Notamacropus eugenii: one gene and its partners. The protein of the gene in region 1 binds, or shares a complex with, the protein of each later gene. Links are inferred from orthologs where the notes say so. Each region holds a gene or a part of one and is shown in the gene's direction. Other genes may lie near its edges.

Region 1 (7,163 bases):
GTGTGTGTGTGTGTGTGTGTGTGTGTGTGTTTCCCCCTAAATGTTTAATTTGATTTGTAAGTCATTTTAGTTATGATAAATTTGTTTGGCCAGCAAACTCAAGCTATGTGCTGTAGTTATTGAATAAATTACAAAAGAAAGGGAGAGTTCCATTTCTTAAAGATGGGAAATACTTTTTTTGTTAAGTGAAATTGGGGGAGGATGGGGGGAAAGAAAGGGAAGGGAACAGAGAGAGAGAGGGAGAGAGAGAGAGAGGGAGAGGGAGGGAGGGAGAGACACAGAGAAAGAGAGATAGAGAGACAGAGAGAGAGACAGAGTGCACACCATATTGGAGTTCCACAGACTAATAAAGGTACCAGAAATAAAAAACTCAGAAAGTCCATGGATTGGAAAAGAATAGCTGTTTTTAGTCTGAGAGGCTTTGAGTGGCTAGTTCCCTTCTTACATCTCAATATCCCCTTCCCCACCCCCAGTTAAAGCCAAAATTTCTAGTTCCAGGGAAGAAAGGTGAGGATATCCAACTCATATCCTCAGGTGGAGTTGTATTTGTGTCAACTCTACCTGACTGTTAGCTCCTGGGTAGGAGGATACCTATCTTCACTCACAAGCTCCACCTTGTGGTGAGATATATTCTCTCTCAAATCTTTAACTTCCTCCTAGTTACTGGCTCTTAACTTAATGAACTCAAACATGCCCAAGTCTCCCTCCATCCTAAAAACCTTCATGGAACACTACTATTTTCTCAAGATACTACCTTCTATCTCTCATCCCTTTCTTGGTCCAGGTCCAGATCCTCTGTATAAAATGCTGCTTCTACTTCTCTCACCCTAAGCGCTCCACATTACCTGTTTCATCTGTCTTCATGGCCATTGGAACAAATTGCTCTCATCCACACATTCCACCAAAGGAAGTCTTCACATGCTTGGGGTAGACACCCCCCTAACTCACCAATGGGTTTGAGAACCCTTGGTTACCCTCAACCTGGTTTGGCTTGTCTGCCAAAATGGTTTACCAGGGTGTGGCCACTGCATGCTGCAACTTAGAGCCACAGGTGAGAGTTGAGTGGAACAGGTTGACACCAAAGGTGGAAAGAGCCCTGGAAAGGGCTCGGCAGCCATCACACCAAAGGCACTGTTCCTGTAGTGTACTTTACAGGGATATTCACATTGACAATGAGGTTGATGTACTCATTGCCAGAGCTAGCTCAGTATTTGGGAGGCTCCAAAGAAAAGTCTGGGAGAGAAGAGGTATTTGACTACCAAACTGAAGGTCTACAGAGCCGCTGTGCTGACCTCATTGTTGTATGCCTATGAAACATGGAGAGTCTACCAGTGCCATGCCAGGAAACTGAATCACTTCCATTTGAACTGTCTTAGGAAGATTCTGAGGATCACCTGACAGGATAAGGTACCAGACACTGAAGTCCTTGCTTGAGCTGAATTGTCAAGCATTCAAACTATGCTTCAGAGAGCGCAATTCCAATGGGCTGGCCACATTGTTCAAATGCAAAATGTATGCTTGCCAAAAAGACTATTTTATGGAGAACTCACATGGGGCAGGTGATCGCATGGTGTTCAGAAGTGATACAAGGACACTCTCAAGTCTCTCTCAAGAACTTTGAATTTGACTGTGCAACATGGGAGACACTAGCACAGGACCACTCAGCATGGTGTGCCTACATCATAAAGGGTGCTGTGCTCCATGAACAAAGCAGAATTGAGACAGCACAAAATAAACATAGAATGAGCAAATTGGAGCATCCACCCTAAATATTCACATGGACTATCTGTGCCCAACCTGTGGTAGAGCATTCCAAGTTCGCATTTTCTTACAATAACTTAGAGGTGTTCCATTATTAGTCTCTTAGATAAAGATTTAATATTGTTTTTATATCTTCTATTAATCACCTACCATGATTATAGAAATTTGTCATAAAAGGAAAAAGAGGGACATAGCCATAGTAAAGGGGAAAATTCTCCCCTAGCTTGATGTAAATTCCAGGCTAGAGTCATATAGGCCGCCAACTGCATTAATAGAATGTCACAGCCAGGCTCAGAATTAGCCTGGTGGGAAATTTTTCAATTCAAGAGGAAATGTCATACATTCAGGAGAGTCCTACCTTAACTCACATCAAAAGTCACTCTCCTGACTTTTCCCTGAGATAGAACTCCACCAGTGGTAAGTCCCAGATGTCACTCCCATAGGGTAGCTGAAATTATGAATCATTGGCTCAATGACATTTTCTGATTATTATACCTGGAATCAGATTCAGACTACCAATTACAGTCCCATAAGATTCAACTTTAATAGAAAATTTCATTAATCATTGCTTCGGGCTGCATTCAGTTATAATCACTCTCATGTTACTGAGAATAAATATTGTAGACTGACCTCTTAATAAAGACTCTAAGACTACAGACTGTTAAAACTAGGTCAATTCAAGATGTAATTTCAATATATACCACTCCAGGTATAATTTCATAATCACAAATCATCTCACAAACTTTGTAAAAGGATGTTAGTAATACATGAGATCTCATTTTCTCAACAACCATATTCCAGAGTTTCATAGCCTTGTTTGTCTTTCAGTTTTTCAAAGAGGACTGATAGCAACAAAGGCAGAGTTGCATAAAGTCATTAACCACACTCTCTTCCAGAGTCATAGAAGTCCAGTGGTAAGACATAAGTCAAGAAGACTGGGAGTGCCTGGGATGGAGTGGATGGCCTTGGAGTCTTTGATGCCTAAGCTCTAAGCACTCCACAATGCCTACTTCAGCTGTCTTCATGGCCATTGGAACAAGTTATTTTCACTTGCCTGTTTCCGTGGGAGAAGTCTTCACATGTTAGACATCCCTCTAATGCACCAATGGATTTGAGACCTGTCAACCTAGTTTAGGCCATGTGCGGAAACAATTTTACTAATATGTGGCTACTGTGCATACTACAGCTTCTTGAAGACACAGACAGGTGAAGGTGGACACTCAAGATGGATAAACAGCCCTGAAAAGGGCTCAGTAAGTCCTTAAATCAGTAGTGCTACTCCCTCCTGAACAACCCATACACCTGGATTGACTAGAAAACAAAAGCCATTTTAATCAGGCTCTCCCTATTTGTTTTCCCCTTTGATGAAAGAAAAAAGCAAGGATAAGAAATCTGTCCCACTTAGAAGAGGTCCAGTCTAAGCTGGCTAATGAGTAGATAACTTAGGGGCCGGGAATGATCATATTACTTGATCATAGCCCTTTAGGAACTGCTTGGTGAGCTTAAACTGAAACAACTGGGGTCTGACCAAATAGGAAATGGGATGGATTTCAGATTAATATGATACAGAATGATATTAATTTTCCTCAATAGTGACACATGTTTTTTAAGGTGATGTGATCATAGACTGAGAGCTGAAAGGGCTCTTAGAGGCTACTTAATCCAGATTTAAATCCTACAACCCCAAGTCTAGGTTTATTCCTTGTTGGCATTCTATAGGCTATGAAACATATCAGCCCTGGAGCTTCCAGTGTGACTCACCAAGGTCTCTCCTATGCTCTGCATTGATCTACTGAAAGTCTTTTGGAAGCTCACACCACCTCTGGAATATTTTTCCCATTGGAATACCCTCCTACCCTTGCAAGTCTACCTCCCTATTTGGCTGTTTCCTCCCAGATCTTCCATTTTAAAGAGGAGGCCCAGGCCCATCAATCTTTATTCCTCTCCAGGATGTGTTCCTGTTCATTTGCACAGGACTTTCTCTACAAAAGCAACACTTCACTCCTCTTTCCCTTCCCCCTTGTCTTTCTCCATTAGACTATAAACTCCTTGAGGAAGGAGCTTTCTGTCTGTTTATATTTGTACTTCAGGGGCTTGGTGTGGTGCCTGAACACTTAATAAATAACTGAGGGAGCAATGTCCAGGATCCCCCGGGAGAGAGCCATAGCATCTCCATGAGGTGTAGTACAGGTCAGAAAGCTAGCTTGCTTCCTCCCTTCCTTCCACGGCCCAAACTCCACGTGAAGGCTCCTGGGTGATCATCCACAGTAACTGTAGCTCTTTCCCTCCCAGCTGGATTCACTTATTTTTTTCTTTTGCTCATTAAAGGGGACATCCCTGCTTACTTCCTAAAGAGGCCTACTCACTCCTCGGGCCTTCCCTCCCCCTAAGTGAGCACCTGCAGAGACCTAGGCCTAAAGGGCCCCAGGCCTCCCAGTGCATCCTGGGCCGTGGCCAGTCATCCTGGATCCAGACGGCCCAGGGGGGAAGCGAGGCTGGTGAGCTGCACAGCCCTCCCGCCCTCAAATCAAAGTCCAGCGCAAGTCACGTCATCATTTCTCCCGTCATGGTCCTCTGAAAACGAAGGACGAACGCAGATAGAGGACAGTGGAGGCAGGCACAGATACAAAAAGGGCGTCTCCCAGCAAAATCGCTCCAGCGTCATCACCTCCCTGACACGTGACACGCCGCGGGCACTCAGGCCTTTGTGGGCTAACGGGGGGCACACATAGCTTACGAGAATAACAGCCAATAGTTACACAGCTATCCACTTTAGAGAGAAGACTGTCGCAGAGAAGCGGTCACTTGCCCTGGGTCCCGCAGTCATTGTTTTAAGAAATCTAATTTTAATTTTGAGAACATTAAGAACCCGAATTTTAAGAATATTAAGAATTCGAACTGAAGTCTTCCTGATTCCCTATCTAACCATTATGTTGTCCCAGTCATGGCAAAATTGACGATATCGGTCTTGTATAAGGAACGACCCGTTTTATTGATACTTTTATATTTGCCTCTAAGGAGGAAGAAGAGAGAGCAACACTTCACATAGTTCAAACTACTCGGACCTGTCCGCGATTGCTGTTGCACATGCGTACTAGCACGCTGTCGGTCCCGGCGCAAACGAGGCGACCGCGCAGGACGTAACTACCGACAGTAACGTCACGCCGGACGCGCGACTCTCGCGTTGAATAAAAGGAAGCCGGCTTTCTGAGACTTGGGGATTTGTGCACATGCGCATTTCCTTTCCCTCCCCTCAATTGAGGAGGTCGAGTAACCTGGAACCGGAAGTGAGGCGTTTTCAGCTCTTTCCTTCCTTCCTTCCATCGTTGCTTCTATCTAACGTTTCTGTGGTGTGTGCGTAGTACTGGAAGAGTAGATAGAAGGAAAGAAGGGCTTTGAGGAGATAGATTCGACCCCGGGGCACTTGAGCAGGCGCAGCCATGGCGGATGTGACTGCCCGGAGCCTGCAGTATGAGTACAAGGCCGTGAGTGTCGGGCCCGACTCGGCGCGGGGCCGGGGGAGGGGGCGGGAGGAGGGAGGAGTAGAAAGTGGACAGAGGGGTTTAGAGGCGACCACATTCCAAGGAGTCGTGAAGGGCAGCCGCTGAAACAGAGTCCGAGCGCGGAGACCACTAGAGCCCCCCGGGAATCCTGAAGAATGCGCCCGAGAGACCGGGCTGGGAATACGTTGTCTCCCGCCGTCAGGCACCCCTGGTTCATAGACTCCGAGTTGTGTACTTGCTGTGGGTGCTGTTTTCAGGAGGCATCCCCGGGAGTGGGGCATCCTCTTATTACAAGAGTTTGGGCCGCATCTACGTGTATTGTTAGGAAGTGCCCGCTCCTAAGCGCACAACTACGCACTTCATTCTCTCTTTAAGAGATGTTTTACTTATTTTAACATTCATTTTAAAAACTATTTTTGAGTAACAAATTCACTTCCTCCCTATCCTCCCCTCGAAAGGGAAGCATTGCAGTACTCATGTGTACGCGTGAAACCAGGCCCTATTGTCAAGAATTATCATCTAAGTAAGGGGAAACATTTGCAGGAATTGAGTTGCCTGCATTCAGTCCTGCTGTCGTTGTAGCTCTGTTCATATTGTGATTATTCCAGAACTCCAACCTTGTCCTCCAAGCTGACCGTTCTCTGATTGACCGAACACGGCGTGATGAGCCGACAGGGGAGGTCCTTTCACTGGTGGGGAAACTGGAGGGCACTCGAATGGGTGATAAGGCACAAAGGACCAAACCCCAGATGCAGGAGGAGAGAAGAGCCAAGTGAGTATATGGAGAATTCTCTCCTCTTCCTTGAAAATGAAAGTATTGAAGTCCATCCGACATCTGGTTTTCACCTATGTTCTGTTGAAATGCTTGAAGCTTGAGCATAGAACTACTTGACTGGAAATCCCTTTAGGATTTTAGAGATCCTTCTAAACTTAAGGTCACATATGGATACTTTCATAAATGTTGTTTTACGAATGAATGCTGGTACTAAAAGATGTATTAGAGATGTCTACCCTCCTTCATTACACAGAATCAGTTGATAAGCTTTTATTGCCTATTGTAGGACAGGCACTGTTCTGCAGGTGCTGTACCTCTAGCTACTGAAGACCCATAAAAGAAAGTTATTGCCACCAAAGTTCTTGTCAAATGACTTAACAGCTGAAACTGTTATAATTTTATTGGTAGAAATAACATTAAAGAGGAAGCATTAGTTAGGTGCTTTGCTCCTGTACCCAAAAGACCGTGGAACCTTTCTATTTGACTTGAAGCTGAAACTTTTTATGTTTTGTTTCTCTTATCAAAATGAGTTCTTTAAGAGCAAGGACTACCTTTTCTATTTGTATCCCCAGGACTTTATGTAGTACTTCGCACATAGTAAAGCCCTTAATAAATACTACTTAAAATTTACTTACTCATTCACTGGGGACTTAAATTTTAAAAAATAAACTCTACTTAAGTATATATATGAGTATATACAGAATAAATATAAAACTAATAAATAGGAAATAGTTAAATAAAAAGTAGCCTGGGAGGGAAGACAGTGATTAGGAGCTCAGGAAAGGCTTCATGTAGAAAGTGGGACTTGAGCTACATCTTGAAGAAAGAGAAAAATTTTGTGAGGTCAGGAAGGGGTGCATTCTAGGGAGGGGAACAGCAGGTACCAAGGTAGAGACATGCAATGTCTCTTGTGTGAGGAACAGAGAAAAGATGAGTTTGACAGGCTCTCAGAATTCAGAAGAGGGAGTAAAGCCTAGTGAGGTTAAAAAGATAGGTTTAGGCCACTTTGTGAAAGGCTTTAAAAGCTAAACAGAAGTCTTTATGTTTGAAGCTAGAGGCAGTGGGTAACTACTGGAGATGGTTGAGTAGGTGAGTTACATGGTCAGATTTGTGCTGAAGGAAAA
Region 2 (7,540 bases), on another chromosome or scaffold:
ATAGTCTGACAATTGTGAACCACCCTTCAAAACCTGGGTAGCTTGACAAATCATTTGCTGGTAATTCTCCATACACTAACTCAGAAAAACTCAATTCTAGGGAAAAAATGGTGTTCCCCCACCCCAAGAAGGTGTCAAAGTCTGTCAATAAACTATCTTTATTGGCCTGGGGTAGATCCTTGTAGATATTAATGGACATAACTAATCACAGATTTTAAAATTCTGCTTGCATGGGTTGATGATAAGCACTAGGGTAAAGGACCTTAATCTTAGGGACAGGAGGCCATTCTTAGCAGGTTTTAAGGATGAGAAGCCAAATGTGTCACAATTTCCCAGTGCTCTCATAAGAGCCTTTGGCTGTTTGAAGTCATATAGATTTAAAGAGACCCATTTAAGGTTAGGATGAGTGAAACCAAACTTTTGCTGCAGTTCTTGAGGGACAAGGTTAAAAGAAAATGTTTGGAGTTAGGCAACAAGATGGCCAACAACATTAAGGACTTTCTAGGAAAAACAAATCTCCAGGAGCTAGTCAGGTTTGCTGTTTGTCCTGAACAAGACAAGATCTCTAGCCAATTTGGTATAGCTCTGACAGCTCCTGGAGGAGTTTCTCATCCTCATCATTCCTACCGTGTGATTTCTCTAGCTCTTGCTCCTTACAGATCAGTTCTTCCTCTGTGGGTCTGGTAACATACATACTTTGGAGTTTCTGAAACAATTTTTGGCAGCTCTCTCTTTCAGCACTGCTCAGCAGGCTCAGGTTGAGGCCAAATCGGCCAGTTCTGGATAGGCTATGAAGGATCTCCAGTACAGCAGCACGGTCAGCTGGCTTAAAATTCTCTGCCAATGTCACCAGCAGTTCACCGAGGAGTCCAAAACCCACATCTACTCGGAAAAGGTGGCCCAAGTTGGGGGCCCCAAGCTGTAACAGGGTCTGATAGCGTTCTGGTCCATTCTGGAGGTAGCGGCGCCAAGCCCTATAGAAATCTGAAGATGTCTCAGGCTGACAATCTCCCTTCTAGGTCAAAGGGAAAAGTAAAAAGAGTTATGTCCTCAAGACACTAAGGAGTCAATACTTGCAAGCTCTATTCCTAGCTTTTCTACTGACTCAGTCTTCATCTCAGGAAAAACATGACCCTTTGTGGGCCTCAACTTCCTCATATAAAATAGGCTTTTTAAAACTTCCCATTGTCAGGCACAAGTGGGATCTTGGGGACTAGGGTGTTAAAATAACAACATGATTTAGCATCATATAATGGAAATTTACAAAATGTGGATACAGCATATTCTAAGATGGGAAGGGAGGTAGGCCACAGGTCTCAGAATCCTAGAGGTAGATCTGATTGGCTGAGAGCTGACAGATCCCATCTCCTCATCCAAACCATAGTGACTGTACATACAATGGGACTGCACTTCATACTTCATGTCCTTAGCAGAATGTTCTCTGGATCAGTGAGCCCATATCGTCCTTCTACTCCCTCAACAGAATTTGGTGCAGTTTCTGCTAGTTACAGCTCTATAAACAGTGGTTGAACTGGGAAAATATGATATAACATAGATAATGTTAATTTGTGGTTTCTCTAAGTCAATATCTAGCCCTGCAGGGATCTATTTCTATTTGAGTTCGGCACTTCCTCTCTATAGAGTACAGAGATCCTGGCCAAGGTCACAGAATCTAAGAGACTGCTCTGATTGGCTGAGATCTGACTAACCTGTCTCTTTATCCAAATTTTGAGATGGTTCTGTACCCTGTACTTGTCACAGCCTGGAGTCTGTGTACCCTAAACCTGAATGAATGGGATTTCTTGAGTGTAAGGGGAATGGAGCTTTTCCCCAAGGTGATGACGTGGTGGGGCTTGCATGCCTCCTCCCCAGAGATGTCCTTTCCTTGAAGTCCTCAGGATGCCTAGGGTACAAATGCCTCCTTGGAATTCTTGAAAGATGGGCCATCCCCTTTAAGTATGACAGCACGTACGAGTAGGACTTTGTACTACGTGTGCTTAGCAGACTGTCCTCTGGGACACTGACCCCCCCCTGCAGTCCCCAGACTCCCAGCACTTAGCTCAGTGCCCAGTACACAGTAGATGCTTAATAAATGTTTATGGAATGATTGGATTGGATTTAGTCTAAAGGCAGTTTCCGCTAGTTACAGCTCTGTAAAAGTTTTGTTAATTAAGAAAAAGAAGCATTACAAGTAAAGGTTAGGGTTCCCCAATGGACTATAGAATGGCTATTTCACCTGGGAGATATAAGTGCTCTCCTCCTGAGTGATGCCTGTCTGAGCAGTGGTACTTGTCACCTGACAGTTCCAAGGCACTGTCTTCTTGATATTCATCTTGTCCTTCCGCTCTAAAGGCTTCAGGTGTGAGGCAAGGACAATGTCCCTGTGGGCAAAGGAGACAGTATTTGAGGGAAGACTCCCCAGGCTGGGTGTGGAGGTATGGAGCTGCTGCCCTAATGGTTCCTGAACCCTGTAACTTCAGCTGCATAAACATGGTGCTATAACTATTTAAGCTAACTGGGCCATGGAATATAGTTAGGACAGCTCTGGGGTAAAGTTGTGTAAGCCAACCTGAACTCTTCATAGGAGGCCACCTTCTGTTCCACAGCCCGGAACTTGGCAGCATTCTCTCTTTGGTATTTCTCATCAGCAGCTAGTGCAGCCTGCAACTCCTTCTCCAGAGCCCTAAAGTCAATGGTATCAGTCTTTTCCATGTCTGGAACCTGGGAGTGAAAAAGAGGGTGAAGTCCAGCAATGAGACATTACCAGGGAAAGAAGCTACTGTATATCATGATAACTCTTTGCCATTCTAAAAAGATTAAAGCACTTTGTCCAAATTATCACTCATCTCAAAGAGAAAGTACAAAAGTTGTCTCCCCATTTTAAAAAAGAAAGGATCTAAGATATGTAGCAATGGTCCAAGATCCCACATAACACCATTGTTTCACTGGGAACAATGGACAACATTTATGTAATTCTTTAAGGTTTGTAATTACACCTACATATCCCACAACAATACTGTGAGGTAGATACTATTATCATCCCCATTTTATGGATGACAAAACTGAGACTCAGAGAAGCAAGTAACTTGTCCAGGGTCACACATGTAGCATATATCTGAAGCAGTATCAAACTCAGACTACCCTGATTCCAAGTCCAGTATTCCATCTACTGCCGAGGACTTCTAAGTTCATATTCCCATCTAGACTTGCTTCTTGACTAAAGACTAAATTGGCACATGTACTGTTAGTCTCTTTATTGAAAAGGTGGTTTAAAAAGCCATTTGAAATTGGGAGGCACCTTAGAATTCAGACTTTAGAGAACTTCCTAAGAACTCGCTTGGAGTGAATGAAGGACATATGGTCACGCAGTCACACAGCAGATGTGACTATAGCTCCTTTTGAGCCTAGGATAAATTTCAAGTCCTGTACATCCAAGACAGATGTAGTGTTGGGGAGGGAGTAGAACCACACAAAGGTTGCTGAATTTTCTAAGGGAGTGGATGACTCTTTCCAGCCTCTTCAATTGTAATAACTGAGCTAGAAGGAGACATAAGAGTATCTGAAAGAATTGGTTAGGATGAATGCTTCTTGACCTTGTGGTCTTGCTCTCTTCTGGAGTCGCTTGTATCACATGGTTCCAACTCAGTGGACACCTGTAGCAGCAGGGGTAGATGTGGACTAGTGAAAAACCAATGCCTAGAGACTCGTGTCTTGCACAAATTAGACATTTCATAAACATTCCCCGAATTGAACTATGACAGAAAAATGGATGAAGGGAAATTTTTTCTTCTACTTGATTTGGATACCTTTGCAGCCAGTCCCTTCTGCCCTTTCCTTCTCAGGTCTCAATGCAAACTGGCTCCCTGCACCTCTGGGAGGATGGAGCTACCCTGAAGGCTCAAAACTGTTGTGGCCATTTGCTCTCCACAAACCCTAACAGATTAAGATCTGTAAAACCCCTCCAAAACCCATGTGGTCCAAGCCCCTCTTTGGAAGGGTGCTTCAGAGCTTATCCTGTCCAAGTCTCCCACTGGAGGAGGACCCTGAGACCCAGAGAACACACAGACACACAGACACACAGACACACAGACACAGACACAGACACACACAGACACACACACACAGACACAGACACACACACACACACAGACACAGACACACACACACACACACACACACACACACACACACACACACACACACACACACACACACACACACACACACACACACACACACGCCCCCACCCTGTAAACAGACCACGCAGAGCCCAGGCATCCTGTGCCCGACCCAATTCCAACTGCCCTGAGAACTAGTAGAGCAGAAGGCGAACCTACCCTAGCTCCTGGTCAGCCGTCGCTACCCTCTAACCCCCTCAACTCAAGAAAAATCCTCATGGTTCTCCTGCCTAACAGGGGGCTCAGGCTACAGCCAAGCGGAAACAGTTGCCTAGCAACAGTCTCACTCAAGCAGCCCACGTGATCGGGCCTCTCCCCGTTCGAGCTGCCCTAGTGATGCCTGATAAAATGAAGGCCGCGCTTGCTCGCTAACGTCGCCTGGGCCGTCACGCTTTCCTGTCCGGCGCGTCGCAGGGTTCCCCCAAACCGCCCCTTCAGCCCGGAATGGCTCTATCCTACTCCGGCACCTCAGGCAGAGTAGCAGGCGGCGGAGGAAAGGGGCGTGGCCTCGACGTCGCGCGGGGTCCTTCCTAGCGAGCGTCGCAGGCGCCGGCCCATCTTCGGACGGAGAGAGCGCGGTATCGGCGTTGGGATTTAGAGCTGCAGGTGAGGAGTCGGCGGCCCCGAAGTCGGGGCGTGAACTCGATCGGATGGGGTCCGAGGCTGGCAGATGTGGAAGGGGTGGACCTTAAAAGAAAACCTCATCTTACAAAGGAGGGCACTGAGGCCTTGGGGCAGGCCCGGCCTCTGCTCGGGTCCCACCAGAAGGGGGGATGAGGGGGCCGGGCCTGGTCGTGGTGGGGAGGGCCGGCGTGTCACTGATGGGCCCGGTCGTGACCGTGGGCAAGTTTCCTAACTTCTGCGTGTCCCTTAGTGGAGTGGAAGCTCCTTGCGAGCAGGGACTTGTTCTTTGTGGTTTTTTCCTTCCTCCTTTTCTATCCCCAGCACATGGCCCTTAGGAGACACTGTGTTTGTTGAGTTCAATGAGCAATAATACACATTTTGTCAGGTGCTTTAAGGTTTATACACCGCTACCTTCCCCTGTACTCCCCCATCACTCAGAAGGCCCAGGTGCTTTATCCTTAGGTGACGGATGAGGTCCTGAGAAGCTAAGTGACGTCATCGCCATCCTCATCATAGCGGACGTTGATAAAGCACGTTAAGATTTGTAAATCACTTTACGTACGTTAGCGCGTTTGTTCTTCACCGCGGTCCTCCGAGGTAGACGCTGATATTATCTCCATTTTACAGATAAGGAGAATGAGGCTGACAGAGGCTGTGACTTACCCAGGGTCATCCACAGCTAGTAAATCTGGTGTGGATTTGAACTCAGATCTTCCCAACTGCACTGGGCCACCCAGCTTGTTTCACTAATAAGCGTCAGAGCAGCGAATCCAAGTCCTGTTAGAAGGGTGCTTGCTGCTGAGTAGGACCTTTAAGTTTCAATAGTTTTAAACTGTAGTAAAGCTTTTGGGATGCCCTCTACACAGTGCTGGGCCCTTAATACTAGAAGATATGTTTTATCATGCATATGTGCACCATATTTACATCCTGGCACACTTTGGAAGAAAACTTCTCAAGTCATCCTAGCTAAAAAAACAAAAACAAAAGAATAGGTCATGGTTTGGTTACCTTAACTAAAAAATAACAAAAATAGGTCATGGTTTGGCGATTTACTATATAAGATACCTTCTGGTAATGAATATTCAATTAATCTAATCCTTGAACTGCGCTTAGTACAAGAAAATTTTCTAGCCTGTCTAGGACCTGCCTGAGCTAATGTAGTTCCGCCAGGATTGACTTGTAACACCAGTGTCACCTTATCACATTGGGGCACTGGAGTAGAAGCTTAGTAAGGGAAACACAGGCATGTTTATGGCTTCGCTGGAAGTTGATTCAACAAATGTTTGTTTTAAATTTTTGTTATTGATATCTTTTTTTTTTTTACATTGCCTACACTTCCTTTGTTATTCACCTAACCATTCCTCCTGTCAAAGAAGAAAAAAAGTCGTTGAGTAAAATTAACCAACTAACCAACACTGACAGTATATACAATTCAAGAAGTATTTATTAAGTACTTTTCATGTGAAAGTCACTTTTCGTTTGCTGGAGAGATACAAAACATAAATGAATCCCTTCTGGTCCTCATGGAGTTTACATGTTTGAATCAAATGAGAACAAATCTTAAAGTATTTTGAAAGTGTAAAAATTCTAGAGAACCAGATTGTACACTTAAACTTCACAGGATTTATATCAAATGGGTTTATCTTAGAAAGCAGTAGATACTTGGTTGGTGTTTCTTGGAGTGGAAAGCTTGGAAGCATCTGTGGGAGAAATAGTACAAGTAGTACAAAAATATACAGGAAGTTTTATTAATTGATCTTTAAGGAACATATAGCATAGGATTTTATTTTGCTCTGCAGCTAGCATAACAGAACTCAGGAGGAGCAAAAAATAAACAGTTCTGGGTACTGTTCATTTTACACTGAAATGGAAGCTAGTTTAAAGGTAGTCAGTCATGGTCAGGAGAGGGAACATATATTCACCCTTCTCTTCTTTGCCTGCCCACAGATTACTTATATTTTTTTGTTTTCTTCCCCATGGATATTTAGCATCATGGACACAGACCTCTATGATGAGTTTGGGAATTATATTGGACCAGAGCTAGATTCTGATGAAGATGATGATGAATTGGGTAGAGAAGCCAAAGATCTTGATGAGGTAAGACTACTTTAAAATAAAGTTTTACCCACCCCCGCTCCCCCTTTTATTTGGAGGATATGAAATTTTGTGTCACTGAGAATAATAGCTGGCATTTACATATACCTTTAAGGTTAGCAAAGCACTTTATCAATATTATCTTATTTTATCCTCACAACGCCTCTGAGAGGTAGGTGCTATTGCCATCTCCATTTTACAGTTGCGGAAACTGAGGTAAGCAAGTCACATGATTTACCCAGAGTCACACAGCTTAGCGTGTGAGGTGCTAGTGTCTTAGTGTTTGAACTCAGGTCTTCCTGACTCCAGGAATAGTGTTTTATTCTCTGTGCCACTTAACTGCCAGAATAGAGAATGTGAAGTACTTTATTTTATTCTTTCCTCTAACCTTTTCAGGATTTTTGATGGAAATTTTTCAGGAGGTGTGATATTTTGAAATTTTATTTATCTTTTTCAGATTTGTTATTTATTTATTTTTAATGTTCCTTCTTTTTCAAATTTTGAGTTCCAAATTCTTTTTCTCCCTCCCATCCCCTCTCCTACCCACTGAGAAGGCAAGTAATATATCAGTTATATATATGAAATCATGCAAAAGATTTCCATACTAGCCATATTAAAAATAAGAGAGAGAAAAATTTTAAAGT
Region 3 (7,460 bases), on another chromosome or scaffold:
AAGAAGGGACAGCTACTATATTAACTAATGTATATTAAGATCATGTTTATATTTTTATCCACAGGATTACAGGATCGTAGATTTAGAAGTGAAAGTCACCTCAGAGATCATCTTGTCTAAGCCAGGGTTAGATACAAGTACAGGATTTGAACTCAGAGCATCTGCCTTAATTTCATATTCTTTCTGCTGTTCCATGTTGCTTCTAGTTAAATGTTCCCTGCACTGATACAGTACTTTAGGCTGTTTTCCTCACAATCCTGTGAGTTCAGTGGTGCAAGCATTAATATTCTTGTTTACTGATGATGAAGCTGAGCCTCAGATGGGTGGGCACTTGCACACAATCACACAGCTAGCAAATTTCTAACTAGTATCACAACCTGGATTGGAGAATTCCAGGCATGGGGGAGAGTCAGTGAAAATACCTGGCGTTTAGAGATGGAATGTTTTGGTAAAGGAACAAACAACAAGGAAGCCAGTGCACTGGACTATACATTGTATGGAGGGGAGCAGGATATAAGAAGACTGGAAAGGTATTAGGAAGTGAGTTTATGAAATGTTTCAAGCCAAAAAATTTGTGTCATAGGCCCAGTTTGATACCCACTAAATGTGTGACTTTGGCCATGAGTTTCCTTCTATGTTGAAAAAAAAGTGGGTAGGTGGGTGAGGCAGAATTGGACATCAAGGAACAATAGTTGGATGAGGGCAGATCCATACTGAGCACCAAGAAGGTAAAGTCCTGGATCCCTAAGGAGATGAAGATAGTAGCTCAAACTCCATCTTCTACCAGAGGTCTTTTCTAGCCTCCACCCTCCAACGTAAGTACTTCCCCTTAGAGACTACCTTCCCTACACTGTCAATCAGTACTGTGTATAAAGTTCTATGCACGTTGTCTCCATCAGAATGGAGACTTCTTGAAGGCAGAAATTGCCATTTTTTACTCCCAGGACATGGCACAATTCCTGGCATGTAGGAAAGGCTTAATGAATGATTATTGAGCCACAGAGGGATCTATGAGTGTGTTGGAGCATAGCTGAATCTTGAAGAATGTGGCAGTCCCTCAGAATGATAAGGTCAAAATGTCTTTGGTTTCTGTTTATTCAAGGGGCACAGGTTTTCTTGCTGATTTTCCATTTCCATCTCTACCCCACTTCTTGCTGCCTGCATTGGGTCACTCTTATCGATTTTCCTCCTTCCTTTCTCTTTCCCTCCTTTCTCTTACGGTTTATAAACAGAAAAAGGAGCTATGAGGATCTAAAATTCCCTAGAAGGATACACAAAAACAATACTAAAAAAGTTCCACCCTGTATCTGAAAAATTATTAAAACAAAAGAAATGCACCTCAGTGAATGGAGTATTTGCAGACACAGAAGAAGCAGATGGTCATTATGCCACTTATAGATTCTCCATGATGTCTTGTTCCTACTTATTGCCTTTCCATCAAGATAGCTAAGAAGGCAGGAAAAGACAGAAGGCCTTAGGAGAGAGCAGCATACAGGTGTGCAAATGAGATAGAAACAAAGGGGGGAAAGGGAATGAATCAAGGGAACATATGACTACAAGATAGTTATTCAACCAAATGCCTCTGCTAAATCAAATCTCAATATTTCAAAGATCTATGATTTTATCTGCATATTCCTACTATCAATGTAGTTTGCAAACTATTAAAAAAAGCAGAAAACAACCGAACAAAAAAGCATCATCCAGTGGACAAACATATGATCAATTTCTCTCAACGTGACCAGGTTGGTTCTAAGTTGACAAACGTAGTTCACCTCTGATCTGCAGTAGAAGCTTTATTAGTCTGGTATCTGTCAGTGCTTGTGCTCCACTGGCATGGATTCTGAGAAACTCGCAAAAACTCCATGCCGGAGGCAAAGCAGGCATCCTATAGGTAAATGGAAAGGAAAGGGGTCTATGGAAAAGTGGCTGGGAGATGGAAGTGGGGATGGGGTTTTTGGAAACACTAACAGGTATCAAGGAAAATGTATTATAGCAGAATTCAGAGGAATTGAACACCTTTGGCCAAATTAGGGCCAACCTCCCCCCCTCCCCCCCTTCCCACCTTAGGAAGAAAGAATACTGAATACAGAAGCGAGATGAGCTATATACTGTTAGTTCAAGACAGATTCTCACACCAGGAGCTGGATTGGTCCGTTTTCCATTAGGTCACCACCTTCTCTACATGCCCATTATGTAACCACCCTTTGTGTGATCACCACTCCCAAACATGTTTTAACGTAAGACCCATGACCAGAAAATGGAGGGATAATTCTATGCCAGGTGCGTCTGCTTAGATACATTGTGGCCAAGGGCCTGCGGTCCCCACGTGGCTTGGTGACAGTGGTGAAGAAGAAAGACACATGGGCAGGTGGGAGTAGACAGGGCAACTCCGTTTATTGATCTGAGGGTCAGATATATAGAGAGAAACTGCATGTCTATGTGCTCATCTCCAGTCCTAGTGATTTGGCCAGTCTTATTGTCTTTAAAGACCGTTAGTCTAGAAGGCATCTATTTTATATATCCCTTGTATTCTGTAGTTCTCTTGTCTCACAGAGACATCAATATCTGGCTGGCATGGAGAGCCATTCCAGTCTCAAAGAACAGTTTCCCCAAGGCCCATCCTGAACTAGTCAACTGCACTCCATCCTGGCCCTCAACAATACATGAGATTCATTAAGCAAGCACAGTGAAGAAAAGTTTTCTCCAGCTTATTCTAGGTCATTTTCCTTGACTGGTTCTGGCCAGTTTCAGGCCTGGACCTGCTTATCAAAAAATTTATGACTTTTTAAAGACCACCTTTTTGCATGTCCTGACTGGTTGAGTCCACCTGCACTCTGCTGGCTTTCTTATTATCTGATTTATTCTCCATGACTTCATCAACTAGTAACTGTGGAAATTTCACTTTTGGCTGTCTCTCATAGGGTTCTTGCTAACTTGCTGGGTCATAAGATTTACAGATCTACATCTCCATCTGGCAGTCAGTACCTCTCCTATCCTCAAACTTTTTAGTGATCATATATGAGCTCTGAGGCCCTTTCCTCATCTAAATCCATCAACCACTGTTGAACCCCGTTTTTGTCAGAAACTGGGGTCCAGAGAAATGAAACTATGTCAGTGGTCACTTAGTGATAATGTTTAATATAAAATTTTGTAATAATCTCTTTGTTCTCTCTGAAGCAAACTCAGAGAATGTCTCTTCTTATGTCAACAAAAGCCAGCCAGGGCTGACTTAACATTCCTTAAGAGACCTTTAACCTAAGACACTATCTTGAATAACGGGATGGTTTCCATATCTTAGTATTTGTAGACATATACTATGTTATGGCATGTTAACAGTAAAGAAAACACAGACATCTTGGGTCGTAATTTCTACCTGAAACTTTGTCAAACTCTGTTATCTTATTGTATTTACAACCTATGCAATTAAGAAATTCCTTTCTAATGGTCTAGTGAATCACTTATGGAGACCATAAATCTGAAGAAAGCAGAACACTTCTTTGTCCTAAAGCAGATGTAAGGCTGCTTAATTCGGTAGTCAGAACATTTCTGGCTCCATAATGCATTGTGTTACCATTGTCTTTAATAGGGAATTGATCAATGAATAAATTAAATCATAAAATGCTTGCATTTAGCCTGTTGCCTTTACTATAACCAAGTTTTCAGGTCAACATCAGGAAATAAGGAGAAGAGCTGGGGCCTGGATCCGGCTGCCTTGTCCTATCTCCCCTTTAATTTCTCATATAACACAGGGTCCTAACTTTCTCAAGCCTAGGGATTTGCAATCCTGTTAGAAATCATTTAGTCCAATCCCCAAATTTTAAGGAAAAAAAAAGAAACTCAGGCACAGAAGGAGAAAAAGGTCTCTTCCCCTGCGGCACTGGGGGGAACCAGGTATCCCCCTCCTGCAGCTCCAGGCCCGGGGGTCCCCCGCCTGCGGCTCCAGGCCGGGGGTCCTCCACCTGTGGCTCCAGGCCCGGGGGTCCCCGCCTGCGGCTCCGGGGCTACCCCACGACACAGTTCATCTGCCCTGCACAAAGGGCCAGACTGAGACAAACGCCATCTCCTCCCTTCCTTGTCTCAGGCTAAGATGAAGGTCTAGCTATGAAGGAACATGACAGCCATCACACAAGTGGGGAAACCAGGCTAAGTGCCCTGCCCATGCCCACAGGGCAGTAAGTCCTGAGGATCAGACACGTGGAGGTGAAAGGGAGCCAACCCCTCATTTTACAGATTAGGAAACTGAGGCTCGGAGAGAAACAGAATTCGGGGCTAGGATTTCCCGCCCGCAAGCCAAGCGGTCTATCCAGGACACGCTATTGGCTCTACGGAAAAAGCAGAGCTCATCCGGTACAGCCACCACCAAGGTTGCGGCTTCCTCCAACGGTGGGACGGAGACAGTTCTGGAAGCTAAACCCCATCGTCCTTTTCGAGCCCGCGCAGGCGCAACAGCTACCATCCAATGGGCATGCGCCCCCTTGCGTCACATCCGGCGCCGGCGCCTCCGGACTCCGGAAGCAGCCGCGTCGCGGTGGCGGCGGGAGCTCTGTCTGGATTTCGGTTTCTCCTTTCTCCGTTCGCGGGGCGGGCGACGTGGTCGGCGTCATGGTGGAGGTGAGTGACGGGTGCGCGTGAGGGCGAGCCGCCGGCCTCTGGGCGCGCGAGGCTGCGGCCGGCCGTTTGTCCGCCGCCGGGGCTGGCTCGGGCTCTGCGGGAGCGGCGGTTTGATGAAAGCGAGAGGAGGCCGCGACCCGGCCCCGGCCCCGCCCCCCGCGCGAGTGGAGGAGTGGGCGTGCGCGGCCCCGCGAGACCCCCGAGCTCCGGGCCCGAGCCCGCGGGGCTGCTTCTCGGCCGGGCAGCGACCCCAGCAGCGCCTTCCCGGCCTCCCGCCTCCAACCCCCCCCCCCTTCCTCCTCCCGCTCTGCCCCTTGGCCCGCCTGCCGGTGGGCATGGTGAGTGGCGTCCGCCGTGGTGGTGCCACCGAAATGCCATGGCATCGCTGCGTTATGCCTTCAGCGTGAAGCAGTGCAGACCTCCCCCGCCCCGTCCTGTGGGGGCCTTCCTGGCGCCTGCTGCGTGGGCATGAGAGGGGCATTGGGGAGGCGGCTGGGAAGGGGGCTGGAGCCAGGAGAACCCCTATGGAGCAGGGCCGTGGTTGGGACCGCAGTGCAGAGCCCCCCGCCAGATCACCGTTCCTTCTCGATACCCCGTTTTTTGGGCTGCGCCTTAAGCAGCTGCTAGTGAATGTGCGGGTGTGGGGCCGGGCGGGCTTGGAACGGAACCTCGTGAAGTGGCCTGGAGAGTGTGATGGCTTACGTCACATCTGCCAAGTGGGGTCGGTTCTGGCACCGTGTGGTGTCGGGTGAAACTTTCATCGTACACTTCATCGTGTTCATACGCTTTAAACTTACGAGCCGCATCTCACGGAGCTCTCCACACTCTGTGATATTTAGAATTTGTTATTGTAAGCCCCGTTAAAATTGAATTTTTAAAGATTAAATCTCTGTCTACAGTTTCATCAGGTAAAACCTTTCCTCACTGCATGTGATAAATGATAATCTGTAACAGCGCAGTAAATGTAATATGGTTTACAGTATTTAAATGCAAGAGGAAAATTCACAGTTGCAAGTTACTTGTTAGAAATTTGGGGTTCGGTTCTATCAGTAACACTTTTCTGCCATTTCTTGGAGTTGTTCCATTATCAGTCGTTACTTCCGCATGAGCTTTGCAGTTTAAAATGATTGCCTTCTCATTTTGTCTTTGACACTTGTCATTGACTACAAAGTCTGTATTTTTGTAAATACACCTGACAGTTGGGATGCTATTTGTTATTAACTGCCAAGACTGTATTTTCGTAAAGGAACAATAAATTTTCAAGGAATTTGCTATTTCCCCTAAAGTTAGACTGAGACAAAATTTAGACGTTTTACAGTATTTGTGAAGCTAATTTGCAATCAGATGTAAATTCTAAGAAAACTAATTAGCTTCAGAGATTGTAAGCAGAGCTATACCAGTTCAGTTTAAAGGACGTTAAACGCCTGCATTAACCCCATGTGAAGGAAATTGCTTTAACCTAAAGGCTACATCAGTGGTATGGAAAGGAAACAGTGATGTGAACAATTCAGAACACTGTTCAGAGGCTACTCTTAGCAGAACACTGGTGAATATGACATGGATTAGGACTTGGGTCCATTTGTATAAGCAGGCTAATCCAGTGACCAGATGGCTCTGGAGAAGCCAGGCTGGTGACCTACACAGCCCTCCCTCACTCAAAACAAAGTCAGTCATGTCATCATTTCTCTGGTGGCATGGTCTTCTTCGGCCACAAAAGACAAACACAGTCCTGTGAGTAGATGCAGCTGGCTGAATGGGTAACTCAGCTCCTCCTCTCCTCTCTGCCTCCCCCTCCCCTTTCTTCTTTCCAAAGGACTGTAAATTTGGATGGCCAAAAGATGCCCGGTGGTCTTGGGTTTTACTGGTCCCTTTCCTTCCTTTCCTTTGCCTTCCATTCCCTTCCCTTTCTCCTGTTCTGTGCTGACCTATCCTCTCCCAAAACCCTAAACCTACACAAATTGGGAGTGCAATGGGCCCCTGCCTAAGGGCTCCTCTTGACCCTCCTAGCTTTACAGTGATTATCGATAGTAACTGTTACTGGTTCCCACCCAGCCTGATGTCTTTGTTTTTCTTGACCTCGTTAAGGGGGCCATGCCTTGTCTTCTTAAATGGCCTGTTCAATGAATGGGCGTTGCCTCACCCTAAGTGGGTACCTGCATAGACCTTGACCTAAAGGGGCCAAGGTCTCCCAGTGCATCCTGAGTCATCTCCAGTCATCCTGATGAATACCTGGTCCCTGGATTCAGATGGCTCTGGAGGAGAAGTGAGGCTGGTGACCCGCCCAGCCCTCCCTCACTCAAAACAAAGTCAAGTGACAGTCATGTTATCATTTCTCTGATGGCATTGTCTTGTTCGGCAACGAAGGACGAACACAATAAGCAGGTTAACTTTGTTCAGTGTAGTTTTCCATTGTTGCTTTTTGCTTTTAGAATATTAGTGCCTCAAATAAAACTTAGCATTTACATAGATGGCTCTTTAATGTTTGCAAAACTTTTTACATTATCACAATAACCCTGTAAGGCAGATGCATGTGTTTATACTCATTTTAGCAGTGAGGAAACTGAGGAAACCCCCAACCTCACCCAGGTATTAAAGAATTTGAGGTAGGATTGGAATTCAGGAATTACTGACTTTCCATTCTAACACTTAGCTTCCTCTCTGATGCTAATTCCTGCTTATTACAGGCAGCTTAGAAAATCCTTTTTCACCCTATTGATGCATTTTTCTCATTTCCTTAGCCTATCTCCAGTTTGGATTTTGGTAGAGAAATAAATATTACACTTTATATGTTCAATTGATAAGACTTTAATCAGACTATATGAAGCTGTATAACTGAAGCAACATTATAA
Region 4 (7,841 bases), on another chromosome or scaffold:
CCTCCTCAAATTTTCTTCACAATAAGCTAGAAGCCTTCCTTAGGTTCTCTTCATATTGTGTGGATACAAATGAAGAACACAGACTGTCCATTGTTATTTTACCAAATGCTTTATTTTGTATTCTAATTGACATCTTGTTTTTATATCACCTTCATTTTCAAATATATTCCTCCACTACCAACAGGGCCATCTCTTGTAACAAAAAGTAGAGGAAAAAAGACAGTTCAATAGAAACACACCACTGAATCTGATCTTATATTTAACATTCCATACCTATGGTCCTCAATCTCTGCAAAGATGGGGGAGCGAGAGATGGAATTTTTCACTTCTTTAGGACAAGCTTGGTCATTGTTAATACACAGCATTCAATGGTAGAATGCTTCCTTGTCACAAAAACAGCTGGGCAAAAAGAATCAACATAAAGACCATGTATGATAGCACTCTACAACAGTAGTCCACTACATCTCTACAGAAGTCCTCTAGTCAAGGCTGGTCATTATATTAATCTTGGTCCTCAGATTTAGTATTGCTTTCCTTTATATCAATTTTGTTACATATACTGTTTTTATTTTCGGCTTACTATGCTCTGCATCAATTGATACAGGTCTTTCTTAGAATCACAGGTCTTCCCAAGATTCTGAATTCTTTGTTATTACTTTTGTCACCTCTACAACAAAGTGTTATGAATACTTTACTAATATGTGTGACCTTTTTTCTTTCCCCTGGAGGAACCTCCTTTATAGGATAAATGCCCAACTGTGGGATGATTGTTGCCCAGAGGTCAACAAAGGGTTTGACTGTTTTTCACACAGTTCCAAATCTGTTTTCTTGATGAGAGGGACTAATTCGCAGATTCACCAGAGGTACTGTATTAATAATGTATTTGTTTTTCCATAACCCCTTCAGTTACTATTACCATTTTAAAAATGAAATTTGCCAATTTGGTGGGTGAAACCTTATAGCTGTTTTAATTTGCATTTTTTTTTCATATTAAGGATTGAGAGCCACTGTAGGTAGTGGATAAAGAGCTGGGTCTCAGAATTACAAACACCCTTAAGTCCTCCCTTTGTCACACACAGCAGGCAATGAAAGCTTGGCCAAGTCAGTTAGCTTCTTGGTCCTCTAGGTCACTCTCTAAGACTCTTTAAGTCAAACAGAAGTTGTTTGCTTACTTGCATGGCACAGGGTTTCATCCGGGATGTCTCTGGTCCAACCCCCAATTTAGTAATTTAGAGTAGTGCTTCTTTAATTGTGAAAAAATTGGCAACCGTAAAAGATTTCTGAACACATAAGAATCAAAAATAAATTAAAAGATCAAAAATGTAATGACTCCAAGGTGTTTCTGGCTTTGCTTGCCCATGGGTGCATGGTACAACTTCATTGCAGCCTTGGTTCTGAACACGACATACGAACTTTGTACTTCACATGCCTTCAAGCCCACGAAGAGCCAAGAACATTTCGAAAAGTGGTCTGCAGCGGAAAAAGTTTAAGAAGCCCTGATTTAGAGTACCTTATAGTACTTGCATTTCTTTTAAAAAACTGTTTATACCTTTTTACCACTTTATTAGGGAATGGTTTTTGATCACATATATCTTAAAGGTCAGACTTTTATCAGAGATAGTATAAAGATTTTCCCCCAATTGAGTGTCTACAAATAGCTTCATTTTTTACACTGATTTTGCTTGTGCAAAGTTTTTTTAATTTTATGACTCAAAGTGACTATTTTTATCTTTCAAGATCGCCACTATTTCTTGGTTATGTGTTAAGAGTCTTTTCTAACTACAGATTTGAAAGGTATCTCCCCTTTCATTCTCCTCTTTTTAGGTTTTTTTTTCTTAAACAATTTGGAGCTTATTGTGGCATGTAGTATAAGAGGTTGATCTAAATTTAATTTCTGCTGAATTGCTTTCCAATGTTCCCAGCAGGTCTTGTTAAATGTGAGCTCTTTCCTAAAGTGGTTTGTATTTTGGTTAACTGGGCTGTGTTCAACTGCTTCTTGGTCTTAGTTTAATTAAACTATCTAACTAAACTACCAAATGGCTTGTAAGTCTATTGCACTTTACAACGTGGTCTGAGATCTGATTTTCAGTGATGATGTCCTTCACACCACTTCTCTTGCATAACTTGTGATGAATTACACAGTCTCCATCGCTCCTTGCACGATTTCTGACCTCAGTTCTTCAGAGGCTACACACTACTGCATGACTAGCAACATTTTTCATCACTGCAAGAATACTGACATTAAAAACAAAATAGGCCTTCATCCTGGGGGGAGATTGTTAAAAAAAATAACAAAATAAAACAACCTGCACAATCACCCAAAGGCAATGCTGCCTGCTCTATTCCTCCAGTTCAGTTCTTAGCCAGACTCATCTATCTGCAACATCTTATCTCAGATCTGTGTACTCCTTAGAGGTATGCTGGATCCAGATCAAACCTATGCATGAGTTGACGGTTACATTTTCAATATAAGCATTTTTACAGCTCACAAATCAGAAGAGGTTATAAAATCATAATTTGATTTCTTTGTTGATTGTCTAGATTTAAGAAAGTAATGAAAATACTGATAACTAATATTAAACTCAAGTGTGTGTCATGGGTACATTTTTTCTGGAGAGCCAGTTGTTAAACATTTATCAGTACAGCACTATTCATATAGATAAATGAGCTCTAAAGATTGCCCATCCAACTGCAAGTCTATCAGTCTGAAAGATGATCAGAATCATTACTCAGAGACATTTAGTAGCTTTCCCATGGTAGATAATTCAACTAGTAAACCATCAGTCAGGATTGAAACCATGTCTACCAACTCAAAGTCTAGTATTCTCTGCACTAAACCACACTGTCTCAGTAAAAGAAAAAAAGATTTAATGGAATATTGTAGATAAACACAAAATACACATGAGGCTAAAGGTGCAACTTTGCCAAGGTCTTCTGACTTTGGAAAAGTGTGATGTGAGATGATTTACCCATAACCTTTTAGTGAATTTTAGAGAAGAGTATTTCTCACCCTGGTAAAGCAAATCACCAGTACAAAGGCACTCAGTGACCACCACAGTTCCAGAGGGAATTCAAGTCTAGATTACTAGCAGAATCTGGAAGTTGAAACAATAGTTCAGTGAGCAGTGATTCCCAGCCACGGTTTTGTGAAACCATGTCATTCAGGTGTCACCAAAATGTCCACAGGATTATCGATTCATAGGCCATTTAGTTCAATGCCCTCACACTGACAGTTTAAAAAAAGAAAACAACAACAAAAAAAACTGAGGCCAAGAGAAGTGAAATGACTTGCCCAAGGTTCAAACCCCACTATAAATTACATCCTGTTTCTACTGCATATGGTAAATTCTTTCCTCCAAACAAGAGTGAATTTTAACTCACTTTAATTTAGAAGAATGAACCACAAAGGACAGTCAATAACTGGGTGCCAGGCAATCACTGTATAAATCCCCAAAGGACTTATGAGTGGGAAGAGAACATGTCGTTTAACCCCTTAATTTTGCCAGGGGAAAAAAATGGAAGTTTTCCATTCCATAACCATAAAAAGTTAACCTTTCTATAAAACAGGTATATTTGTATGATATCCCTCACAGAGCAAATTAGATAACAAAGTACTTTATAAACTGCATAAATCATAAAACCTTTAAGTATAAATAAGCGTATTATTAACATGTGGGTATTACTGATTCAGGGAGCTTCAGCCTAGCAGGGCTCTGGGGTGGGATTATGAGCTTTTGGAAAGAGGTCTAAACGTAGGGACAACATTACTGGACTTGGAGGACAGGAGACTTACCTTCACATGCTGGCCCTGACGTACTGTGTGCCTTTAAGGGAGTCATTTACGTGAGTCAGTGTCTCGCTTCAGATCGCTCTGGGATGCAGCAGGGACTTATTTAATAGATGCTTACTGACGGTGCCTGACCCTAAGTCTGCTTTTCACTTGTAAAAGGGGAAGGACAGAAGTGTGACCCCTGACCAGGATACTACAGTGTGCAAGGTGTAAAGTTCAAATACCACACGATAAACACGGCGCAGTGAGGAGGATAACACAGCACTTCAACGGAGAGGCCCAAAGTGCTGAGAGGTCCAGGGGTGAATTTGGGAGGGACGAGTTTGTTAGTTTTATGTAAAATTAATTTGGGTTTAGCTGAGGGACACAGAGTGTCCCACAAGTCTTACTGGGCTAAGTGTGCTTCACGTTTATAAGAAGCGATGAGTTTAAAAAGATGGGTAGGGACTCAAGGAACGACCAAGAGGGAGGAAGGAGCAAGGCATGCTGGGAAGCGGACCTGTTGGCCGGCGCTGACTCAGTTTCCTCATCTGTGAGAAAAAAGTGAGTAAAAGACACCAGCCGGAAAGAGGGGCTCGGAGGACCCGCCGCTCCTAAAGCTTATGGGAGGTCTGGGGCTCAAGTTCCTCCAGGGTAAGACGAGGCGGCCTCGCGGGGCAAAGGAGGATGGGGTTCGCCGGCCTAACCTGGGGGAGTTAGAGACGTGGGGCATACCGGGCCGCGGTGCAGCGAGGCCGGGCTAGGGCCTACTAGGCGGCCCGGGCCGCTGAGGGGAGCCGGAGGAAGAAGGAGCCAGGCCTCCCCCTCCCCCTCACCTGCGCTATGAGGAGAAGTCCCGGCAGCAGCCGCACCAGTACCGCCATGTTCGCCCGAGATCCCCAGGGCCCCACGGCTCCGGCCTCCCTTCCCCGCAGCCTCAGCTGCCGGACGTTACCCAGCAAGCCCTGGGCCCCGCTTCTTAGCCCCCTCGTGCCTCAGCGCCGCTCCGCGGCCGCGTGCGCCTGCGCACGCGCGTCACACTTCCGCAGGGCCCGGGTGCAGGGTGAAAGGCCGGGGCGCGACTCACGAGGCGGATTGTGACGAAAGCAAGATGGCGGCGAGCCGACGACGCTGCCGCGGCCGCCGCCACAGCGCTGCCAGGCGTTACCCAGCAACCTCCGGGCTCCGCCTCCAACCCTAGGCTCCTGCCCCATCTGCGCAAGCGCGTCCCTGACGTTAACGCCGAAGCTTGCGCCAAGAGGTGAAAGGGCGCAGGCGCCGGACGCAAAGGGGACCCTGACGGCTGCAACATGGCGGTGAGCCGAGGGGGGGATACGCTGCAGCCGCTGCCGCCGCTGGGGCGGGAGGGGGACGGACTGACGGACCCGGCGCTCGGAGGCCCGGGCCCCTGATCCGCTGTGCTTTCTCTGCAGGACAAGGAGAAGAAGAAGAAGGAGAGCATCTTGGACCTCTCCAAGTACATCGACAAGACCATCCGCGTGAAGTTCCAGGGAGGCCGAGAGGGTAAGAAGGACCCCGCCCCCCCGTCGTTCCCGTCACATGGTCTGACCCAGGGTCTCCGTCCTCCCCTCACACCCCCCCCCCCCCGCCTGCCTCGGCAGGTGGTACATTCCGGTGGGACCTCCCTGGCTTCTGGAGCGCTCTCCATTCATTTCTCTCCGGGGCTCTGGTAGGTCCGCGCCTTCTGGGTCCCTGCCCCCAGGGAGCGTGCTCATCGTCTGGGCGGGCCAAGAGCCTGGAAGGCAGAGTCAATCCAGGGCACAGGTGCCAACTGTGTACCGGGTAGAGAGGCCGCCCTCGGCCTAGGAGTCAGGAAGGCCTGCTAGACACTTGCAGACAGGTCACTACCTTTCGGTGCTCGTCAGCTTTCTGAGACTAGGAGTTGTTGATCTGCATTCTGGAAGTCAGTCGGACAACGAGCACTTATTAAGCACCTACGGTATGCTGTGCGCTAGGTCGTGCGGTAGGTAGGTAGAGCAGTGGACCCCGAAGTCTGGAAGATGGGACTCCGAGCGCAGATACTTAGCAGCAGGGCCACTGAGCAAATCCGCCTTTTCTGCTGTAAAACGGAGATTCAGGGAGATACTTGTGCTGTACAGATACTGTCATCGGTAAGTCAGGCCCTGAGCTGACAAAAGCAAAGAAGCCTCTGCTCTCAGGTGTCTCACCGTCCAGTGGGGGAGATAATGTGAAAAGAACCGGGCAGACAGACTTTGTCCAGGATACACTGGAGATTTTCAGTAGAGGGAAGGCATTAACATAAGGGGAGATCAGGAAAGGCCTCCTGGAAAATGAGATTTTTGCTGACATTCCGTCCTGGTGTTGGTGAGATCACAGATCCACACTCTATCTGGGAGAGTGCCAGCTCAGTGACCCAGAGAGAATCCTAATTTCCAGCCTTGATACAGACTGGCTTTTTGACCATGCAGGAGTAAATCACTTAACTTCTGTACCCCAGGTCACTTTCCAAGTTGGGTGACTAGTAGTTTGGTGAAGCCTACAGATTCCTCAGAATAATATTTTATTTTATTTTTTTATTAAATTATTTTGTTTTCAGTGTTCTACAATCACTTCCATATAGCTTAGATTTTTTTTCCCCTTCCTCTGGCTCTTTCCCTCTTCCTTCCTGCTCCTTCCCCCCTCCCTCCCCACTTCTCCCTGAGACAGCAGACACTCTTATATAGGTTCTACACATACATTCCTATTAAATACATTTTCACCTTAGTCATGTTGCATAGGAGAATTAAAATGAATGGGAGAAACCATAAAACAAAACATAATACAAAAGAAAATGGTCTGCTTCAATCAGAATCATATTTTTAAATGCACAAAATTAAACAACATGGGATTATAAAGGGAACCAATTCCATTGAAACAAATTATCAAAGAATTTCTTTTTTTAAAGTTCACAGACCATAGGTGAAGAACCTCTTCTGTAAGTTATTATAGGTGAGTTGTTGTCAGTTAATAGCAAGGGAGGCAGTTTCCATGTGGAAAAGAATGTGCAAAGTCAGTGTTGTGCCCCAGGAATAGAAATATAAAAAAATAGCATGATACTCAACAAACATTGATGAGGCACCTGCTGTGTGCGTGCGTGCGTGCTTGTGTGTGTGTACACCTTTGCACAAATTTACACAGACTCTCTCTTTATGGAGCTCCCCCCCACATAGAGGGAAGAGACATAAGTGTAAGTCATGACAGTCATGGAGCATACCTTGACTACCTGCTGCTCGACCTGCAATATTTAGATAAGACACATAATCATAATAGGTAATTGTCATTCAATAAACATTAACAAACAATTAATAATAAATAATTTAATTTAAAAAATAAATAATAATAAACAATAAACACACAGTAGGTATGTTTAGTAGTCTCTGTAGTTCTGTAGCAGTGGCAGGGCAGGGTTTGCAGTTTGTAATGCAAGCATAAATAATGTCCAATATCTTGTAATAGATAGTCCTTCAATAAACCTTGATTTAAGGGTGTCCTGTAATCTTCCCTGATACTCCAGCACTATGTGTGGATCCCTGTCTTTCGGGGTGCTGGGGTAGATAATGTGTCTGAGTTAAGATTGGGTCCTTTTCCCCTAAGGAATACTCAGTAGGATCCTAGATAGAGACCTCCTGGAAAGAACCTAGGAGGTCATCTCTCTTCATTTCACTGATGAAGAGATCAGAGACCCAGAGAGAGTCTATGACTCAAAGTTACTCAGGTTGTTAGTAGCAAAATTGGAGCTGGACTCTGGTCTTCTGGCTCCAGACCCCACGTCCCTCCCACCACACCAAGGCTTGAAAATATAAACAGTAAAACAAATCCCTAAGTCTATGAGCAAGATAAAAGAGGGTGTTGGCTTCATGGATGTGAAGCTGGCCTCGGAACTGGGATGACCTAGGCTCAATACCAGCCTCTGTGACCAGGGCAAATCGTTTAACTTCTCAGTGCCCCTAACCTGCATCAGGAGTTCCCTAGAACAATGAAATTACAAGTCAGGTATAAAACAAAGCATGTCCTGTTAGACTGTGTTTTGGAATGCGTGTTTTTGAGAGTT

Evidence for each region.
Region 2: SNRNP200 (region 1) and EFTUD2 share a complex: the UniProt entries of both Homo sapiens proteins name them as parts of the minor spliceosome. The link is inferred for Notamacropus eugenii from reciprocal best matches to the Homo sapiens genes SNRNP200 and EFTUD2.
Region 3: SNRNP200 (region 1) and PLRG1 share a complex: the UniProt entries of both Homo sapiens proteins name them as parts of the minor spliceosome. The link is inferred for Notamacropus eugenii from reciprocal best matches to the Homo sapiens genes SNRNP200 and PLRG1.
Region 4: SNRNP200 (region 1) and LSM7 share a complex: the UniProt entries of both Homo sapiens proteins name them as parts of the U4/U6-U5 tri-snRNP complex. The link is inferred for Notamacropus eugenii from reciprocal best matches to the Homo sapiens genes SNRNP200 and LSM7.

The regions. Positions count from the first base shown.
Region 1 is NC_092872.1:606,974,484-606,981,646, reverse strand, and holds the start of SNRNP200 (U5 small nuclear ribonucleoprotein 200 kDa helicase), read left to right. Parts: upstream 1-4,163; 5' UTR 4,164-5,201; coding exon 5,202-5,246; intron 5,247-5,872; coding exon 5,873-6,036; intron 6,037-7,163. UniProt on the Homo sapiens protein: Catalyzes the ATP-dependent unwinding of U4/U6 RNA duplices, an essential step in the assembly of a catalytically active spliceosome. Plays a role in pre-mRNA splicing as a core component of precatalytic, catalytic and postcatalytic spliceosomal complexes.
Region 2 is NC_092873.1:349,016,351-349,023,890, forward strand, and holds the start of EFTUD2 (116 kDa U5 small nuclear ribonucleoprotein component), read left to right. Parts: upstream 1-4,524; 5' UTR 4,525-4,784; intron 4,785-6,790; 5' UTR 6,791-6,794; coding exon 6,795-6,899; intron 6,900-7,540. Other genes in the region: DNAAF19 (dynein axonemal assembly factor 19), read right to left, coding at 566-1,015, 2,237-2,381, 2,570-2,712. UniProt on the Homo sapiens protein: Required for pre-mRNA splicing as component of the spliceosome, including pre-catalytic, catalytic and post-catalytic spliceosomal complexes. Component of the U5 snRNP and the U4/U6-U5 tri-snRNP complex, a building block of the spliceosome.
Region 3 is NC_092877.1:153,068,658-153,076,117, reverse strand, and holds the start of PLRG1 (pleiotropic regulator 1), read left to right. Parts: upstream 1-4,444; 5' UTR 4,445-4,602; coding exon 4,603-4,611; intron 4,612-7,460. UniProt on the Homo sapiens protein: Involved in pre-mRNA splicing as component of the spliceosome. Component of the PRP19-CDC5L complex that forms an integral part of the spliceosome and is required for activating pre-mRNA splicing.
Region 4 is NC_092875.1:63,775,928-63,783,768, forward strand, and holds the start of LSM7 (U6 snRNA-associated Sm-like protein LSm7), read left to right. Parts: upstream 1-4,831; 5' UTR 4,832-5,079; coding exon 5,080-5,085; intron 5,086-5,202; coding exon 5,203-5,293; intron 5,294-7,841. Other genes in the region: SPPL2B (signal peptide peptidase-like 2B), read right to left, coding at 4,606-4,653. UniProt on the Homo sapiens protein: Plays a role in pre-mRNA splicing as component of the U4/U6-U5 tri-snRNP complex that is involved in spliceosome assembly, and as component of the precatalytic spliceosome (spliceosome B complex).